2 linked regions of the Xenopus tropicalis genome follow. The protein of the gene in region 1 interacts with the protein of each later gene in a pairwise test. Links are inferred from orthologs where the notes say so. Each region holds a gene or a part of one and is shown on either strand. Other genes may lie near its edges. The genes, in order: kdrl and shc2.

Region 1 (3,835 bases):
TGTTTCCCATACAAATGATTCACCCCTCCATATTGGGTTCGTATTCTCTGATAGTCCCAGTTGCTTCAGTTTAAATATTGGTTAATAACACCTTTTTGACCAGTAAAAATGTATATTAAATATAATTCAGAATAATTATTCAAAGGTAGTTTCTAAATTCATTGGGGGTTTTTTCGAGTAACTGGCAAAACCTTTTTCCCTGTTTAGCTCAAAGAATAACAAAAACCATACATTTTTATGGTTAAAACAATGGTCAACAAGCCATTTTTTCATTGCACTGATGCTGAACAAAAGGAAATACTGTTCTTTGAAATATATTTTTGTCTTGCACATATAAAAATACATGTTTCTGTGTCTGCTTCAGAGTCTAATAGTCCTGACTTTGCTCCTTCTTTTGGTCTATAATGTACTTTTTTGTCAATAGAAGTGTTATAGAAATGCACAGCACTGCTATACAATAACATTATAAAGATATACATTATAAAGATATACATTTCATAGAAAACCTTACTAATAAGTGGTCCTATGGACCACAACAATTGTTTGTGTTTTATACAATGGCAAGGTTATTCTTTGAAAAAAGGTTGCTACATCCCATAAACATGCATAAAGCTAATTATTTGTGGGATAGAGTTCATCATTATATATTGTCAGATAACATATGAGTTCCCATGTAAAGTTTTATATTTGTAACCATTTTGCAGGCATTACCCTTGTGTACAATAGCACTCTGGTCATTGAGAGGGTGAAGAAGGATGACGAAGGGGTATATATATGTGAAGCTGTGAATGAACTGGGGAAAGTCAGTACATCTGCCTTCATTACAGTACAAGGTATGCTATGTAGCAGAACAGTCTCACCTAAGGGGCCAGTATTTCTAATCTTAAATATGCAATGTCCTTATATACTCATGAAATCTGACAGGAGGGGGCATAAGGAAGAAAAAGCGATTTGGTGATTTACCCAGCTCCCTTCTACAGCAAGTTATGGCCAAGTGTCCTGACATATTGGTTTCTCAGTGGCACCCTATTGAATGTATTCATACATTGGATTATTGCAGAGCCAACAAAATAGAAACATTTTACTTGTTATCTGTAATTGATTAGTATGCCTTTCATTGTAGGTGTCGAGGAAAAATCAAACATCGAAGTGATCATCCTCGTCTGTACAGGGGTGGCAGCCACATTGTTTTGGCTACTTCTTACCTTATTCATACGAAAGCTGAAAAAGGTATGTGATTGCCTTCAAGTTAAACGTAGATCAGCTTTGTGAGCCTTATGTGAGTTGACTTGTTGCCATGATCACACAGTCAGTTTCGGTTTGAAATTCACCTACAGGGCACATATTTTGAGTCATTTGCACAGGTGCAGGTAGTTTCCATTTATACACAGTGCATAGGGGCAAGGCATGATAACATCAGCGATTTCATGAATATGACAGCCAGCCACACCCAATATGGCAGTTCACTTTTTCCAGTCCACAATGAATGGAATTACTGATCTGCAGACTACCAACTAACATTCTATACTATTGGTAAATCTGTTTTGCATTCGTGCATGCCTACTCAGTGTTTTTCTACCAACCTCTTTTCTGAAGATTTTGTTTTTGACAAGCATGAGGACCCAAGGAAGTAAACCTATAAGTATGTATTGTAAAACACTGCTGGGGGGCAGAAAAAAGAAAGCAGATGCTCAGTTGTGTGTGACGTTACAAATGTTGCCTGTGTTACAAAATCCCATTTATCATTGCAAAATGACCTATAGGTAGCCTATACACATATTTCCAGTAACTAAAATAACATTTTCATAACATTATTACCATACAGTAGAGTTGTTTGCTACCCTGCCTGTTTATGCCAAACACATACAATAATGATAATAATAATAATAAACTCTATTAACAGATTCTAGAAAGACAAAACAGGATTATGATAATGACAGGAAAAAAAGCATAATTATTTAATTAATTTTGTGGATTATAATATAAATCCTTTCAGTTTTAATCCACTGCAATTATGACTTATGTCATTTACTAGTATTTACATAAATTGTCTACAATAACCAAGAGTTGTCTGTCAAAGGTTGTAACAGTTGTAAATCAAATTCAGACACACTAGGCATTTGATTGCTACTGGAAATTATGGCAACATCTAGGGGGTACCTGCAGGGCTGCTTATCACTGGCAGTGTGAAGAGTCTCTGCTGAGCTATAAGCATAGTTTGTATGCTAGAGTCCCAAGCACTAATCTCCATGGCAGAGTTTGCTAAATAGATGTGTCTACCCAAAGATGCTTACTTGTTTTTTATGCATGTGGGGCATTTATGTACTATCCAGAATGCTTGGGACATGGGGTCTTTCCATACCTGTATTTCATGCCACATTGAATAGCAAAGTATCGATGTAGCTAATAGATCTCTTTTTAAAATAAGTTACAATATTTTGTGACCTGTTTAACTATATGTGACTTGTCGGATTAGATGAGTCAATCCAAGGTTGTCCGAGGAAATCTATCAAATAGTTCAGCCTTGATTTAAGGCTAGTGCCACACTGGGTGGATTCTCGGCCTGCGGATAAATGCAGGGTGAGAATCCGTCCCTAAGAAAAATCTAAGCCACACTAAGCGAAATGTGGCGCAAAACTGCATGTGCGTTTATCCACAGGGAGAGAATCCGCCCCATGTGGGACTAGCTTGAGAGTTTCAAGAAGTTTTATAATGTGTTTAAATTAATGGACTAAATTTCATGGACTAAACTTGTTGCTGAAATTTTCATTGCAGCCACATGGCTCCGACATGAAGACAGGTTATCTGTCCATTATTATGGACCCAGATGAGATACCTCTGGATGAGCAGTGTGAAAGGCTGCCCTACGACAGCAGCAAGTGGGAATTTCCCCGTGACAGACTCAGCCTTGGTAAGTGGAAATAGACAGTCTCCTGTATGTAAGTCCTGAGTTACAGAATAACAATGCAGTTGGCTCTTCTTTATAGAATATTTCTATATCCAAATATTGTCTAAAAATACTTGTATGTTTAAAGATTTTATCCCATCCAGTTTCTTTGCTGACGTCTTTGATGTCTGTCCTTATCTCTGTTTTTTCCAACCTGCTCACTCTATCACAAGGGAGTTTTTCTCCTGTAAATCTTTAGTTGTGAATTCCCCGATGACCTACACATTCCTTCACCTTAGAGTACATGGTGCTGCTTTTTTATCTATATAGCAACACATAAAAATTGTACAGATATAAACAGTGGCTGCTTGAATTTTGAAAAGAAAATCTGATGGCATATGTCCACTGAGATAATTTTTGTTTATTCTCATTCCTCTGCTGCAGTACAGTTGTACAGTTGTATACTTACTTGCCAAACATGACCATTATAGGACTGGTATGTCAATCTAGTATGGTCAATATCTTCCATAGCATTACATCTCCTTAGAACATGTCCGGAGTATGGACTCTATATGACCACTATATGCTTACAATTTCCTGCAGAATTGTTTGGAGAGCAGGGGAAATCCAAGCTGGATGGTACAATTTTTTTTGTACAGGATATGACCAAACCAAAACATTTGTTCTTGCTATGGGAAGTTCCATCTATGGCTCTTGCGGGGGTAGTAATATCATAAAAGTCATAAGCCTCTTTTATAAAATGTACTGTTCTAATCATCTTTTTTCAGGATCTCACTGTTGATATATTAAGTTTATTAACTGATGATTGGAAAAAACTGTTTTTTTCATACTATTGGTTTCTTGCATTAAAATACTTGAAGATATGAGAGAAGAGTTCACCATAATTCACCAAAACCATCTCTATAACCTTCTGCCCTTTGAACCTTG
Region 2 (3,216 bases), on another chromosome or scaffold:
CCCTCGTCATTCATTACTACTTCTCCTGGGCAGCAACGTCATCTCAAGTGCATTTATTTCTATTAGCAGAAAGCACATTCACATGGAAGTTCTCCAGTTTATTACCTTGGGAGCTCAGTTCACATGAAACCCAGAGGGTTCAATAAAGTTAATTTATTCATTACTATAATGACTAAAAAACAATAACTGTTGTGAAAATATTGCTACGTTACTAGGTATTCCATAAAGAATGTTTCATCTATCACACAACTCTCCATAGGTTGCTTGTGGGGACAGAGGAGCCAGCATGGGGTGGAGAAGAAGAGCAAGAACATAATTATTACAACAGCATCCCTGGCAAAGAACCCCCACTGGGGGGGCTGCAAGACAGTCGAATAAGGGAAGCAGGAGCCACTGGACAGCTTAGCACCCAAATCAATATAAATGGGCAGTGGTCCCAGGTATGTATTTTACCTTTTTCCTTATTATTTCTCCCCCCTCCCCCCCTTTCTACATTAACTACAAACAGTTAAATTGAAAGGCTTACATATAAAGATCTGCCATTTCTCCCATTTCAGGTTGGATCTCCAGCTAGAAAGCCTGCTGTATCACATTCTTGTTCACAGTGGGACCTTGAGGACCAAGGTAGGTATAGTATAAATCAGTGATCCCCAACCAGTGGCTCGTGAGCAACATGTTGCTCTCCAACCCCTTGGATGTTGCTCCCAGTGGCCTCAGAGCAATTGCTCATTTTTGAATTCTTTGCTTGGAGGCAAGTTTTGGTTGCATAAAAACCAGGTTTACTGCCAAACAGAACCTCCTGTAGGCTACTAGTCCACATAGGGGCTACCAAATAACCAATAACAATCCTTATTTGGCACCCCCGGAACATGTTTTATGCTTGTGTTGCTCCCCAAGTCTTTTAACATTTGAATGTGGCTCACAAGTAAAAAAGGTTGGGGATCTCTGGTATAAATGGTGTATTGTCAATAGCCCTGAGTGCAGGGCTGAACAGCACCTGAATAGCACCAGTTTGTTCATTACTGAATTCTTTCTGCCTCAGCACAGGCCAGCGAAGGGTTTCCACTGACTAATGGTCGGGCCTTTGGTGTACGCGATTATGAAGAACACATGTATGTAAATACACAGAACCTTGATGGTCTTGTTGCTGACAAGGAACCATACATGATTCCAGAGGATAGTCCCAAGAAGGATCTCTTTGACATGAGTAAGTGTATATAGGGAAGGAGGAATATTAGCATTTTCAATACCTGAAATAAAACTTGGTTGTTCACTGGGAATGATGGTTGACTCTGTAATAAAGAACCATTATAAGATGTATATACTGTATATGGGCTTGGGGCGGGGTGTGGGGCTTAAAAGAATATTTCATATTCTGAGCTGATTTATGATTGCTCTGTAATTTCTTACCAAGTGCTTATGAAAGTTGCCAATTGGTAAAATATTAGCTTTAAGATTTTACCAGTGTCTGAATCAGATGTGTTAAGATAACATGGTAGCCCTGTTTTCTTATTTATCTCCATTTGCTTAAGGACCATTTGAAGATGCTCTAAAGCTGCATGAGTCTTCTTTATCAGCATCTCAAAGTTTAGAAGATCAGTGGCCAAGCCCCCCAACCAGAAGAGCGCCGGTGGCTCCCACAGAGGAACAGCTGAGAGGGGAACCATGGTACCAAGGGAAGATGAGCAGAAGGGAGGCTGAAAAGTTGCTACAGCGAGATGGAGATTTCCTAGTGCGTGATAGCATAACAAACCCTGGGCAGTATGTCCTGACGGGTATGCACAAAGGGCAACCCAAACATCTTCTCTTGGTGGATCCAGAGGGCGTGGTAAGAGACTTTTTCATTATTATACAGATATAGAGGAATTGGTGTATATTGCATTTTTCCTCTACCCTAATGAACCAGAGAATCAATGGGTGTTTACAGATATACAAGTACTAAAGGAGTACAATCTTGAAGGTTATGGTGTTGGTGCTTGTATAAGTTTTTTTTAAATCAAGACACATTATCGTAAGCCACTGATTAACTTGTCAGAACAAAATGCAAGGCAGATTCCACACATTAAAAGGCACAGTCAGGCAATGCAGGTAATTTGTAATGAAGGTCAGTAGGGCTCAATAACTAAACACTGGGAAAACTGCCTATTACACAGTAACATATAGTAACAATTTAGAGATTTGCTTCATTTTTATATCTTTAGCGCACAACTCAAAGCTTATTGTAGATTGTTTGCTACTACTGTCAGTTTGCTCAGTCTCTGTAAATGAGCCCCAGTGTATCCATATAAGCAATATTTCTTACCAGGGCAGTGCACTAACAGTATCATCTACTGGTGCTAGTGGCACTGCAATATGCAGTCCCGGATTTGTGGCAAGGCCACAAAGGCCTTCGCTTAGGGTGCACAAATTTATGGGCGCCATGCTGTCCAGCCATGCTTGAATTTCGCTTACATATGGAGTACTGGGGTCTAAGCACTGGAGATTTCTGCCTGTCCTGTCCCCAGTGCTCTGCGTGCAAGATGTGCTTCTGGGGGTGGGGCGGCTGGCAGGGGGCAGCCTCTGGGCGCTCATCGGACAAATCTGGTGCTGGCAATATGAAACTATTTGCTTAAGCACACAATAATTTGATATCTAAATAGGTCAAAATCAGTGTGCATTTTAATTACAAACAAATACTTCTCTTCTTGTATACCACTAAAATTAAATCAACCCCAAACACATTATTTTGCATCATTACCTGCAACTGTACATTGCCAAATAGATTCTGTATGTAATTCACACAAAAGAAGGATTAAAAAAGTAAGCAGGTATTTCTTTCCTCTACAGGGTGGCACAGAGGTATGGTAAGGTATATGGGAAACCAGTTTATTTAAAAGCTATAGCACAGTGATTCTTAAAAGCTAGGTCTGGTCCCCAAAATGGGTCCTTGTGTTCTTTATTGCTTTCATATACACAGTGAAATATCCTGCAAATGGTATTTCAATCAGAGTAAATCGTTTTAAACCAGTTTCTGAGTTACAAAGTTAACTCTCAGACTTTGTGTCCCCACAGAAAAAACAATTAAGAAACCCTGCTATAGCACAGCATCAGTTTGTCACATATCTTTATATTTCCTCCCTTCAGGTAAGGACAAAAGATGTGTTATTTGAAAGCATCAGTCACCTGATCTCCTATCATTTGCACAATCAGCAACCGATTTTAGCAGCTGAGAGTGAA

The links.
Region 2: the proteins of kdrl (region 1) and shc2 interact in a two-hybrid assay, tested with the Homo sapiens proteins (2 studies listed by BioGRID). The link is inferred for Xenopus tropicalis from reciprocal best matches to the Homo sapiens genes FLT1 and SHC2.

Annotation. Positions count from the first base shown.
Region 1 is NC_030684.2:46,963,556-46,967,390, forward strand, and holds part of kdrl (vascular endothelial growth factor receptor kdr-like), read left to right. Parts: intron 1-704; coding exon 705-833; intron 834-1,123; coding exon 1,124-1,230; intron 1,231-2,775; coding exon 2,776-2,911; intron 2,912-3,835. UniProt on the Homo sapiens protein: Tyrosine-protein kinase that acts as a cell-surface receptor for VEGFA, VEGFB and PGF, and plays an essential role in the development of embryonic vasculature, the regulation of angiogenesis, cell survival, cell migration, macrophage function, chemotaxis, and cancer cell invasion.
Region 2 is NC_030677.2:105,531,153-105,534,368, reverse strand, and holds part of shc2 (SHC-transforming protein 2), read left to right. Parts: intron 1-259; coding exon 260-440; intron 441-557; coding exon 558-624; intron 625-1,042; coding exon 1,043-1,207; intron 1,208-1,532; coding exon 1,533-1,828; intron 1,829-3,123; coding exon 3,124-3,216. UniProt on the Homo sapiens protein: Signaling adapter that couples activated growth factor receptors to signaling pathway in neurons. Involved in the signal transduction pathways of neurotrophin-activated Trk receptors in cortical neurons.